3 linked regions of the Oryzias latipes genome follow. The main gene of each other region encodes a partner of the protein of the gene in region 2 in a complex. Links are inferred from orthologs where the notes say so. Each region holds a gene or a part of one and is shown on either strand. Other genes may lie near its edges.

What was found.
Region 1: taf1c (region 2) and polr2h share a complex: the UniProt entries of both Homo sapiens proteins name them as parts of the pol I pre-initiation complex. The link is inferred for Oryzias latipes from reciprocal best matches to the Homo sapiens genes TAF1C and POLR2H.
Region 3: taf1c (region 2) and tbp share a complex: the UniProt entries of both Homo sapiens proteins name them as parts of the transcription factor SL1/TIF-IB complex. The link is inferred for Oryzias latipes from reciprocal best matches to the Homo sapiens genes TAF1C and TBP.

Annotation. Positions count from the first base shown.
Region 1 is NC_019862.2:11,777,378-11,781,318, reverse strand, and holds the start of polr2h (DNA-directed RNA polymerases I, II, and III subunit RPABC3), read right to left. Parts: upstream 2,807-3,941; 5' UTR 2,656-2,806; intron 2,509-2,655; exon of another isoform or gene 2,318-2,508; intron 1,614-2,317; 5' UTR 1,593-1,613; coding exon 1,520-1,592; intron 1,142-1,519; coding exon 1,058-1,141; intron 789-1,057; coding exon 695-788; intron 593-694; coding exon 509-592; intron 356-508; coding exon 238-355; 3' UTR 1-237. Other genes in the region: lisH domain-containing protein ARMC9, read left to right, coding at 3,672-3,746, 3,886-3,941. UniProt on the Homo sapiens protein: DNA-dependent RNA polymerase catalyzes the transcription of DNA into RNA using the four ribonucleoside triphosphates as substrates.
Region 2 is NC_019870.2:29,159,914-29,164,001, reverse strand, and holds the start of taf1c (TATA box-binding protein-associated factor RNA polymerase I subunit C), read right to left. Parts: upstream 2,803-4,088; 5' UTR 2,472-2,802; coding exon 2,355-2,471; intron 1,816-2,354; coding exon 1,704-1,815; intron 209-1,703; coding exon 159-208; intron 1-158. UniProt on the Homo sapiens protein: Component of the transcription factor SL1/TIF-IB complex, which is involved in the assembly of the PIC (pre-initiation complex) during RNA polymerase I-dependent transcription.
Region 3 is NC_019861.2:24,481,923-24,486,074, reverse strand, and holds the start of tbp (TATA-box-binding protein), read left to right. Parts: upstream 1-1,352; 5' UTR 1,353-1,455; intron 1,456-1,841; 5' UTR 1,842-2,016; coding exon 2,017-2,067; intron 2,068-2,491; coding exon 2,492-2,657; intron 2,658-2,776; coding exon 2,777-2,954; intron 2,955-3,188; coding exon 3,189-3,276; intron 3,277-3,499; coding exon 3,500-3,591; intron 3,592-4,152. Other genes in the region: psmc3 (26S protease regulatory subunit 6A), read right to left, coding at 1-180, 353-1,297. UniProt on the Homo sapiens protein: The TFIID basal transcription factor complex plays a major role in the initiation of RNA polymerase II (Pol II)-dependent transcription.

The sequences.
Region 1 (3,941 bases), on a different chromosome or scaffold from region 2:
AAATGAAGTTAATCAACACTTGTAATTGTTTTGTATAAAAGAAAGAAATATTTATTTACAGTGTACCACCAAGTGGAAATCACAGACCTCAGTGTAGTTTGTTGGAGGAACTATAAAAAATACAACAGAGGTTTACAAAAACATGGTGTTTTGTCTCTAAGATGTTCATATGTTCCACTTTTCTAGATCCCAGTTTTACAAAGGTGGATGAAGGCGGTAGAAAACAGAGGAGGGGGGTTAAAAGGCCAGCTTCTTCATGAGGAGATAGACTCTGGAGTCTACCTCAAAGCCGTGTAGATTGTTGGCATCTCCCTGCAGCCTCATGAGAAGGCCTCCATAAGACACATAGGCTGAGCTGAAAGAACAAGCACATCATTAGAGGACTTGATCAACATTTACACATACATACAGTTTATTTAAATTTTTACTAATCACTAAATTGACAGCACTTGACTTTTAACTTAAATAAAGGATTGTAATGATCTACATGCATTTGTGTAGAACTTACAGACGCGTGGCTGCTTCTGTTGAGGTCTCATCGCCTTCTATCTTGTAGACCTTTCCATACATTACATAGTCAAACTGAGCTGCCCTAGAAACAATTTAAAAATGGAAGATGAATCAAAAGCATCACACATTATCTGCCACAGATTGAAAGACATGGATGTTCATTTATCTTCTTTAAATGCCTTGCCTAGATGGTCGATCATCCTGGGGATTGTACTCTCCATCATCTGGCGTTCCATCTTCATATAATGTACTGGCAATCACCAGTCTGAACTTGTCCCCTTTTTGAAACATGCAAAAAAAAATCTGGATTTATCATAGCAATGTACATAATCACCTAAGATCAAGCTACACTTCTAATACAATAGTTTTACATTGAGTCAAAACTGAGTTAAAATAACTTATCAATTCTGCACCAACACCTTACAAGAGTGAAGAATGACAGTTTCACTAAATACTACCAATAATCAATTTAAAAATTCCTCCACAAAGGCCAAATGTCTAAGATCAAACAAGACATAAACAATAAAGGACATTGTTAATTTCTTACCAAGATCAACAGGATAAATCTGAGTATTTACATCCAAGATCAGGTCCATCTTGAAAGATTCACTTTCACAATGCAGACGAGACACTGCAGTATAAGTAATAATAACCTGTATTAGTTTATATTAAAGAGAACTGAAAACATTATGAAACTGACTAACGCGCTTTTAGATATCCATCTTTTTCAAGCAAATGCATATAATGATTATGTTTGTTATTGTGTTAGTTTTAAAGCTACTAAAAAGCAGGATTGAAGGTTTCCCAACTCAGTAATGTGATGACTGTAATGTTTAGCTGTAATAAAATAATAAAATAAAAGCTGTAATTACTGACAACACAATTTTTTAGTCACACTTAACACAATATGAACAAAAATGCAATATACAATTGTAATTATGACTTTTACAACTGAAACTATCTACTGGTGAAGATCGTTTTTGTGTTTTTACAGTGACAGTCCACATACCTCTGTCAAATTTCTTGCCATCTGGATCAATGTCTTTCACATCAAAAATATCTTCAAACAAAATCCCAGCCATCTTTATCCCTTTCTGTTAAACCTAAAACAGATTCATCATAAAACAAAATTAAAAGGGAAGGTTAGTCACACAGCAAAGCATTTTACGTAGCCAAGTCAATCAAGAAAAACACACTATAGCAGTGAGTGCTATATTGTGTTTTTCACAGTTTCAGTGTGAAATTCCTATGACTCTTCTTTCTTCTTTCTTTCTCTTTCGGCTTTTCCCATCAGGGGTCGCCACAGCGAATCATCCTTTTCCACCTCACTCTATCATGAACATCTTCTACCCTAACATTAGCCAACTTCATGTCCTCTGTTAAGACATCCATATATCTCCTCTTTGACCGTCCTCTTGGCCTCCTGCCAGGCAGCTCCATCTCCAACATCCTTCTAGTTCTACCAATATATCCACTATCCCTCCTCTGAACATGTCCAAACCATCTCATTCTGGCTTCTCTGACTTTGTCGCTAACACAGGCAACATGGGCCGTCCCTCTGATGTACTCGTTCCTTATCCTGTCTAACCTGGTCACTCCTAAGCGTTCTGGTCCCGATCTTGACTATAATTAATTAAAAACAAGTTAAAAAGAAAAAGGAATAGGTCAAAACAAATGGAAATCACAAAGCTCTCCCACCGTGTCAAAGTGGGTGAACAAAACTTGTCACAACTTTGGACAACTTTAACAATGTTCACTTACGCGCTAACTGTAGCATCATGTTGTCCACACAAAATATAATACTTACCCCCAAGTGCTGTTCTTGTATTTTTGTGTAAATAGTATGCCCTGGAATGTGGTGAATTCGTGTAAAAACGATAATAATGTAACCTAGACGTCAGATATTTGATTTAGATAGATTTTCATTCATTATTAAGCGAAATAGTCGGTACCGCGCAGAACCAGCGTGTTCGACCTTTGACATAACAAGAACTTCCGTTTTTTTGTCTCTTTTTTTCTTTTAAAAGAAAGACGCATGTTTTGCTTTACTGAATGTTATACATTTTTTAGAAAGGGAAAAATGCGTTGCGATGGTGTAATGTAGAAAAAATGATCACTAAAATAACACCAATTAAATTTGCCTACCGTTTTATTTGAAGGCTCACAATAGGTCAAAGATGGGGAAAAAACGAATAATATTTTGGCTAAATTTTACGTAGCAAATAAAAAAAAGATTTTTATAAAAGTATTTGTTTTCTCTCAATTATTTAACTGATAATTTAAGTAACCAACAACTGAACTAATTTTACGACAGTTTTTACTAACTTCCGTCTGTCGTCATCTTGTTGCTAGGTGCGTTTAGCGTCCTCTGTGTGGACGGTTGCTAGCTAATGTTAAGGCTGTTGTTTTTACCATAAGCGTCATTATATCGAAAAAATAATTACCAATATACATTTTAAGCATAAATAAAATATTTAATGAAACTTCTAATGCGGATTCTTACCAAGAAAAGATGGTCAAACGAGGTAAGGAACGCTCATCATGTGAACAAACCTGACTGAAACAATTATTGACTAGCTTCCTGCAGTTTGCAGCTCTTCAAATCTCTGCCGTTATAGTTAACGTGTTTTCCGCTATAAAATGCATACAAAGATGAAAATAATTTTTTTTTGATCATAGTAGTAACATTAGGATGGTCTTAGTTTTAGGGCAGGGATGTCCACTTAGTTTCTTCTGTTTAGTTTAGCAATCAGCTATTGAATTCTATGACTTTATGTTCTTTATGATTCATGTTTATTACACAATTACCGGAATGAAGCCCATTGAGATGACTATTGCTGTAAATATTGGGCTATAAATACAATGTAATTGAATTGAATACAACTACAGTAACCTCGGTTGGAACAAACAAATAATAATTCGGAAAGAAAACTGAAACCGTACAAGTTAATACAGGTTGTAATTATTTGCTCTTGTTCGAATAAGCAAGACTGGTCATCTTTACATTAAAACGTGAAATTATTGAAGTATTTTTTTCTTTTTCTTTTTGCCTGTCTGTGCTATTCTGTCTGTTCAGACTGTTACCTGTTTTTTGTAAGTGCAAAGGAATTTCAAACTGAGCCCCAAATGACGGCCGGTATTTTGACAGCTGTGGTCCACGGATGAGTTCAACTAAGACAGCCAAGATGGGAGACATCTTGGCAACTGAAGCCGATCTCCTTGGGATGATTAAAGAGGTAAAGCATGATAGGGATGTGAAGAAAAAAACTGCAATTAAAATCCATAATCTGTTTATTCTGATAGTTGATCTAACATTTCAATGTATTCCACGATGGTGATTGTATAATTAACACACTTTGTGTTTGTTCTCTTTAGTACCTGAAGTTTGGGGAATTTGAAGAAACGGTTCAAATTTTTGACAAAGAATGTAA
Region 2 (4,088 bases):
TGTAGCCTCCGGCTTTGGTTTCCCTCAGAGCAGAGAGAGGACCTGCTGAGTAACGCAGCAGAGCCAGCCTCACTTTGATCATAACCCTGCTTGGCTGATGCTCTGCCATCAAAGGGAACCATATGAGGCTGTCAGTGCATGAACTGCTGCTTCCTTACGTGTTCAGTGAAGTCTGCCGGCTCTGGAGGCGTCACAGATGGGAGAAAAGCTGGAACAGAGGACATTCACAGATAACACCACTGTATTCAATAAAACAGCCTCAAACATTTCACTTCCCTGTTTGAAAACGTGAAGGTTCTCCAGCCCCCTGATGATCAGCTGACTGCTCCAGTGATCCAGTGGATCAACTTCAGTAAACTTCTCATCCTAAGTTGTTATTTCAGTCCGTTTCTCCTGAGGTGAAACGTTCTAAAGGGTCTTTATCATGCAGAATCAACTTGTGGAGCTTTTCAGTGTTTTATAATCTTCATTCTTCACTATAAACAACCCAAAGTAGTATTTGGATCCATTCATGAATGTCTGAGTGTTCCTCTAAAAACCTGCTCTCTGAGCACCAGCCCCTCCCAAAACCAGTGCGTTCTCACACTGTGACATCACAAAGTGAGGAACCGCCCCTTTCAGGAAGAGTCTGCCCTGCCAGCCCCGCCTCCAGGCTAATAGACACGCCCACTCTCTCAGTGAAGCTAGCGGTGATCGGGTAGACGCTTTCCTTTCAATACACAATATGCACATCCATCTTTGGAAAAGTTTGAATGTTTTCGTAGGAGAAACGTAGACACTAGGATGATGTCATGAAATGGGCGGAGCCCACAAGGAGAGAAAGGCGGAGCCTCGGAGATCGAGTCATCTTACTTCCAGGTTGGAAAATGAGCTGAAAGTAACTTATATTTCATAAGAACTGTGTCAAAGGTAACAGATAGTCCTATGTGGACATTGTTGACTCTGAAAGGTTCTCAGGGAAAGGTAAAGGCTCTTTAAGCTGCTCTACAAGCTTAAAGCTTCTCTGTGTTTAACGTGTTCTTCCGACATTTTTTCATGATTGAGGACAAAATTAGTATTTCTTTATTTAAATTGTTGTAAATCAGGATAAATTCCATTTGATACAGAGCTTATTTGTTGAGCAACAAATGTGCTGGGCGTGGCCAAAGTCTCCATGCTCCGCCCCTTTCTGATCATCCACCTGCAGACCAACAGACCCATGAACGTCTTTGTTTTCCTGCTCTGAGCTGGAATCTGGATCAGAAATGGACTTCTGTGTAGCTACAGTACAGTTTTTTTTAACGGTAACGTTAGCTTGGATTCGTGAGGGGCTGTACGCCAGGGAAACGACAGCGTGCTTACTCTGCGCCAACAGTCCCGCCCACAACGCAGAGGTGAATTTCTAATGAACTCCTGCTGCTCTGAAGATTCAATGTCCTAGAAAACGACACAGGATTTTGGCTAAAAACAAAATCACCATTATCCAAAGACCAATGGGACTTGGAACGCCTTGATTTGTAGGATTCTCCAAAACTCCCCAGACGATTGTGAGATCAACCTGCTGTGCAACAGAGAGTTTTCTACAATCAGTGTCTCCTTATGCATGAATCTATGCCGCCGTACTCTTCCAGCGGAGAAGACAAACGGGTTTCAGTGGATAGAATCACATCAAATGCCTCGTCTCGTAGCAGAGGCTCAATCTCCTGCAGGAGAAAGCAGCTCACCGCTTCTGGGAGACAGGAGCGGGACGGGCACAGGCTCGGCGTGGAGCCACGTCTCCCCGCTGACCTGGTGTCTGGAGGTAAAGGACCAGCTGGAGCCAGGACCCGCCCCTTCCTGTAAACACACAGAAACAGCGAAGCTCAGGCGGTTTCTGCAAACCAGATATTTTTCTGCCAATCTGCAAAAAAGGTGTGATGGGCATCAAACGCTAGAGAGACGCTCACTCCACCACTGCGCTGATCAGACCTGCCTTACACCAGGATTCCAATTATTACCCTTTAGTTTCATTTACATTCATCAACATAAACATTCAGCCTGGATTTGCTGGACATGCAGCTCCTTCTAGTGTTTTGGTCGTTGAGGTAATTTTGCTGCAGATGGATCGTGATGATTCTTTGTTGCACATGATCCTGTCTCATTTTAAAAAGAGTCCCTGACCTTTTGTAGACCGTAAAAAAACAAAAACACATCTTTATATTTCAGTCTTTATCATGACAAAGAACCAATTATTTTCTATGTCGCATAATAACTAAGCGACATACACTAAGGTGCATTTATTGTGGAGTCCCGGAATCGAAGCCCCGTGTTTCGGGAATATGGATGATGATTGAGATGACACACCATGAGGCAGGCCGTTGCACCAAATGACCCACCTGAGGAATGACGCGCTCGTAACTGCCCCATCCGCCCGCGCAGGGCTTCTGCCTCGAATTCGGGGGTCCGTGGTTGTAAAACGAAGGGAAAAGTTTCAGAGGGAACCGATGATCCATTCGATCCCTTTTGATCTGCTGAAGTAACTTCCAGGCGTCCGGATTTGTGTCACGGCGGGTGATTCCCGGGAACACGTCCGCACATGTCTAACGGCTCGGCTACGCTGTTAGCTCCGCGGCGCGCGCCTGTTAGTCGGACAAAAGGAAAGCTGCGTCGGCGCGACCGCCGCGTGACAGGAATCCACTCGATCCCACGAACGCACGTCCAGACCGAGGTGAAAACACGGCGGCGTCCAAAGACACCACGGACAAACGCAGCTCTTCAAGAACCTCGATCAACACGTGTTCAAGCTCCGACTGTAACCGGAAGTCCAACTCAATAACAAAACAAGAACTTCCGCTACATTTGAAAAAAAAAAGTTTTTAATAATAGAAATAGACCTAGAATAAAGTTGGATGACCCCCTCCAAACAAATGACATTAATAGGTGTGAAAACGTTTTACAATAAAATATCACAACAAAGTTAATACAGAAACGTTCGACATAAATAACAACAACAATGGTCAAACATTATTTATTTATATATTATTATTATTATTATTATTATTATTATTATTATTATTATTATTATTATTATTATTATTATTATTATTATTAATTAAGTAAACAATTCAGTTTGATGGCAACAGTTTAAAAAACAACTTCAAAATAAGAGTTCAAACCGCAAACCAACCTATAAAACATTAAACTGTGAGGGGCAAAGGGAGAAAACTCACAGTGATATCATGCAAACTCTACCATCACAGCAAAATGTCTGACTTCATGTTTGTATCGGTTATAACTCAATTTAAAAGCACAGTATATATTTCCGCGGTGTTTTATTTTCCCGGGACCGGATGTAGCCGTCACACGTCCACCGATCAGCTGACTGCACAGATCGATCCGTCTGAGGAGCAGCGGCGTGAAGGATCCGGGCGAAGGCTTGTGGTTCTCCTGCAGTCTCTGCGTCTGAGGCCTCGTCGTTGGACTGCGGTCCCCGGTGAGTCTGAACGCTCCCCTCCGGAGGGTTTTGGTTTGGAGGCTAACCCGGAAGTCAGCGTACTGCAGTCTGGGTTAGCGTTAGCATGTCGCGCGGCTAGCCCTCCCTGAGTCCGTCTGGATGTCAGCCGCAGGATCGCGTCGGTTCGGGGTTAGGGTAGTCTTCCTCCGAGGATGAAGTCCGTGTCTGCTCTGGAGTCTGCCTGGAACTGATCAGGTTTGAAGGAAACTCCAAGGTGACGCGGTCAGTTCAGTGTTTTTCTCCGTGGGGACGGCCCGGGGTCGTGACTTACCGCATGCTAATCCTCGCGTGAATCGGTGCGGGGCCTTACGGACTCTGCGGGTTGACTGACAGCTGTGTTGAAGTGTTTGTGATGCGACATCTCAGTTTTTTCTCAGCTCAGTGCTGGTTTGCTTTGAAGAATTCAGATGTCTGCAGTGTTCCTCTACGGTGGCCGAGACGGTGCAAGACACGTTGACATACAACAACTACAAATCCCAGATGAACAAATACTGAAACACAACAACGAAAGGTTGACTGGGTTTCTGTAAGCATTCTGTTTTCCTGGAACCTGGCGTGTCATTGAACACATCTGCAGATTATGAAGGGAGGATGAGGATTGGTGTTGTGGTTTCTG
Region 3 (4,152 bases), on a different chromosome or scaffold from region 2:
GCAGCGAGCCAGCTCCTCATAATTGACATCAGGACTGACATTCATCTTGCGGGAGTGAATCTGCATGATGCGAGCTCTGGCCTCTTCGTTCGGCATGGGGAACTCGATCTTTCTGTCGAGCCGACCTGAACGAAGCAGAGCAGGGTCCAGGATGTCCACTCTGTTGGTGGCAGCAATCACCTATGAAGGATTTACAAGAGCACTGTGGTCAGACCTGGAGCACAACATTATTAGAGTGCATGCTAAAGTTTAAATGTAAAATTTAGCAACCATTTTAAAAGATTAAAGAATATAATGCTGTAACTAATTACAATTAGTTTTACACAAATGTTTACATGGAAAGCATCTTTACCTTGACCTGCATGTTGGGCTGAAAACCGTCCAGCTGGTTGAGCAGCTCCAGCATGGTCCTCTGCACCTCTCGATCTCCAGCCTTCTCGCTGTCGAACCTCTTCGTTCCAATAGCATCCAGTTCATCGATGAAGATGATGGACGGAGCTTTCTCTTTAGCCAAAGCGAAGGCATCTCTGACCAGCTTGGCGCCATCTCCAATGAACATCTGTACCAACTGCGGACCTGCCAGCTTTAGGAAGGTAGCTTTGGTCTGAGCAGCACAGGCCCTGGCCAGGAGGGTTTTTCCTGTACCAGGTGGGCCGTACATGAGAACCCCTTTGGGTGGCTGGATGCCCAGGTTCTCAAACTTCTCCTTGTGGTTCATAGGCAAGACTATAGCCTCCACCAGCTCCTGGATCTGCTTATCAAGGCCGCCTATGTCGCTGTACTGCTCAGTGGGACGCTCATCCACCTCCATGGCTTTAACTCTGGAGTCGTACTCTGTGGGCAGGGTCTCCAGGATCAGGTAGGAGTCTTTGTTGACCCCAACAAGATCTCCAGGTTTCAGCTTCTCGGCGTCCACCAGCCCGATCACCGGCAGGAAGTATGTCTGCCGGGTGGAGGTTTTAATGACAGCGCACTTTCCTTTTCTCTGGGAATCCAAATCCACATTTGCCCCATCTTCCTCTTGGTCGTTGGGATCCACATCCAGCAGCTCAATCACGTTCGAAACCAAGTACGGCAGAGTTTTGTTCACCTTTATCTTCTCCGTGTTTTCTTTGATTTTATCCTTCATGGCCTGGAGCTCATGAGTCACCCGAAGCACTTCGCTCTTCATGATCTTTATCTCGCTGTCGAGGAGACGAGTGCGCTGGACTATCTCCTCTGTGGACATTTTTAACACTTCTTCTCCGATTCCATCTTCCACCTCGTCCCAAACTGATTTGTCACTCAGCGACGCCATCTTTGCTCTGTCTGACTGCGCGCTGTGACACGCCGGAAGTTAAAGCTTCTTCTTCCGGAAGGAGCCAAGCATTTTCTTCCCAGACTGAGCGTTAGATAAAACAAGCTAAGCTCGCATTATCTTGTTTTTGTGGTCACTTCAGCTCCAAAACGATACCAGTAAGTTGCCTTTCATTAACAGGCTTTTCTTTCAACACATATAGTTTAGTTTTCAACTTTTTTTAACGCGGCAAACGCTTTACGCCACAGAAAAGGGTTTGTATCCCTATGTGTATGCTAGCTTACTTTAGCTATGCAGCTAACTTCAGCTAGCCGGTGTGTTTAATTTGAAGGCTGTCAGATGTGCTACGAGAGAACTGATCGTCTATAGACAAGAATTAATGATTTAAAAAAAAGCATTTGAAAGGCCACACAATGAGGTTCACGGTAACTGCAGACCTCGTGACTCAGAATATTATGTTTCTTTTATGTTCGCGCTCTTATTTCTGTTCTAGTTTTGCTAACTTCTCTTCTGTGTACACACACACACATCTTCTGTTTTTCAGCGTTCTGGACTCAGCATTGTGGAAAAAAACAGGGGAGATTGTGAAGTCTATTTTTATTCTAGTGGTCTTTTTCTACGTACATAGAGCCCTCTCAATTCAAGGCACCTGCTGCGAAAGTGGATTGGACAACTGCCTAATAGTGGTTGGCAGTGTTGGAACGGGAGAAGCACAAAACATGGACCAAAACAACAGCATCCAAGCCTTTCAAGGCCTGGCTTCACCTCCGGTATTAATCTCCGCTTTGGTTTCTTCAAAATGGTTTTCATAAAACAAACATTTCACAAATATAATATTTCTAATTACATGATCGGGTCATCACAAAATATTGAGAAAAATATTGATAAGTTCTCAATTTCAACTTATTACATATGTTTTGGTTAGTTTTGAATATGAGTTACTTTTATTTAAATTTGATATATTTATTTTCAAGATATTTATGACTGAAATATAAATTTCATTAAGGAAATCATGATTCTTTTATTTTGTATTTCTGTATTGTATCTACGATTACATTTAATCAGAGCATGATTTCCGGTTGCTTCAGAAAGTCATACTGCAGGTCATATTTTGCATTACTGTAAATACTGAGCTTTTAAAAAAAAAAAAAACTTTCTTCTAATTTAACAACGTGGTGGTATTGTATTATGCAGGGTGTGATGACCCCAACCATGCCAGTGTTCAGTCCCATGATGCCGTACGGCTCGGGCCTCACGCCCCAGCCAGTACAAAACACAAACAGTTTGTCCATACTGGAGGAGCAGCAGAGGCAACAGCAACAACAACAGCAGCAGCAACAAACACAGCAGTTGAACACAGGTAAAACAAACTTTTTATTCATATTCTTTTCTCTTATGTTGAGGTGAATCTAAAAATGTATTTAATTTACTGGATTTGTGTTTTTTTACTAAGAAAAGATAATTGGTATTGTCTCATAGGTCTTCCAGGAGCATCAGGACAGACTCCACAGCTCTTTCATTCTCAGCCAGTACCAGGTTCAACTACCACTGCGCTACCGGGGAACACCCCGCTCTACAGCGCTCCGGTGACGCCTATGACCCCCATCGCTCCAGCAACACCTGCCTCAGAGAGCTCTGGCATCGTACCACAGCTACAGTACGTTGCATACGATTCACAGAGAGATGAGAACATTGACTAATACTGCATACCCATTTACAAATTTAACTTTTTGGGTTATACATGAAAAAGGAAATTGAATTTATTTTAAAAATGGATACATTTAAAGAAAATTCGTTTTAAATGTTTTATTGTTCTAAATGTTTTTTTACACAACTAAATGCAATGTTTTTATTAAAATAACGTTGTCCCATTTGTTTTTTTTGCCACTAGAAACATAGTTTCTACTGTAAATCTGGGTTGTAAATTGGACCTGAAGACTATTGCCTTAAGAGCCAGGAATGCTGAATACAACCCAAAGGTAATCCCAAACTGATCATCTTTTCATGTTTTTTTAACTGTTAGCTTTGATTTGTAAGCAAGTAAGGCAAATGAATTTATTTACTTTGGGCCATCATCCGTCTAAACCTTAAACAAAACAGGCCTTATATTTCCAAAATACGGCTACGTTTGTAAAGTTAGAAAGCTCTACAACTGAAGTGGGAAAAACATTGTAATGTTGCCGTTACTATGCCACCTTCCAGCGTTTTGCTGCAGTCATTATGAGAATACGAGAACCAAGAACTACAGCTCTCATCTTCAGCTCTGGGAAGATGGTCTGCACTGGAGCCAAAAGGTAAGAGTGGGACTTGTTTTTTAGCTTTATATGATTTAAAATGTTTTGCAAAATGTACTATTTGATGTCAAATTTGATGTCAAATTATTTCTAATGATAAATCCAGCAGTCAAAAATTTAGACAGACTTGCCCATTGATATTAATGAATGACTTAGTCCAGGGGTCGGCAACCTGGGGCTCCGGAGCCGCATGCGGCTCTTTCATCCCTGTGCTGCAGCTTTATGGCTCTATGTGGTTTTCCTAGACTAAAACAACCCATTTCTGCGTAAAATTAATTACATTTGCGTTAGGGCGCCCCTACATCCTGTCAACTTGCTGGTATGATGACCGTATGTTGCGCTGTCTGTGTAGAACACGCTGAGGGGGGGGGCTGTAGGCGGGGGAAAACAACTTGGAGTTGCAGAGGAACATGTAGAGAGACGGGGGCGGGGCTTAGACTCACCGCTTATGATTCCAGACCCGCAACAAACTAAGAGGTGCTTCCTAATAAAAAATAGTTGTCATGCATGAAATGGATATACTTTATTGGGTTTACTGAATTTATTGAGAAAAAAATAAAA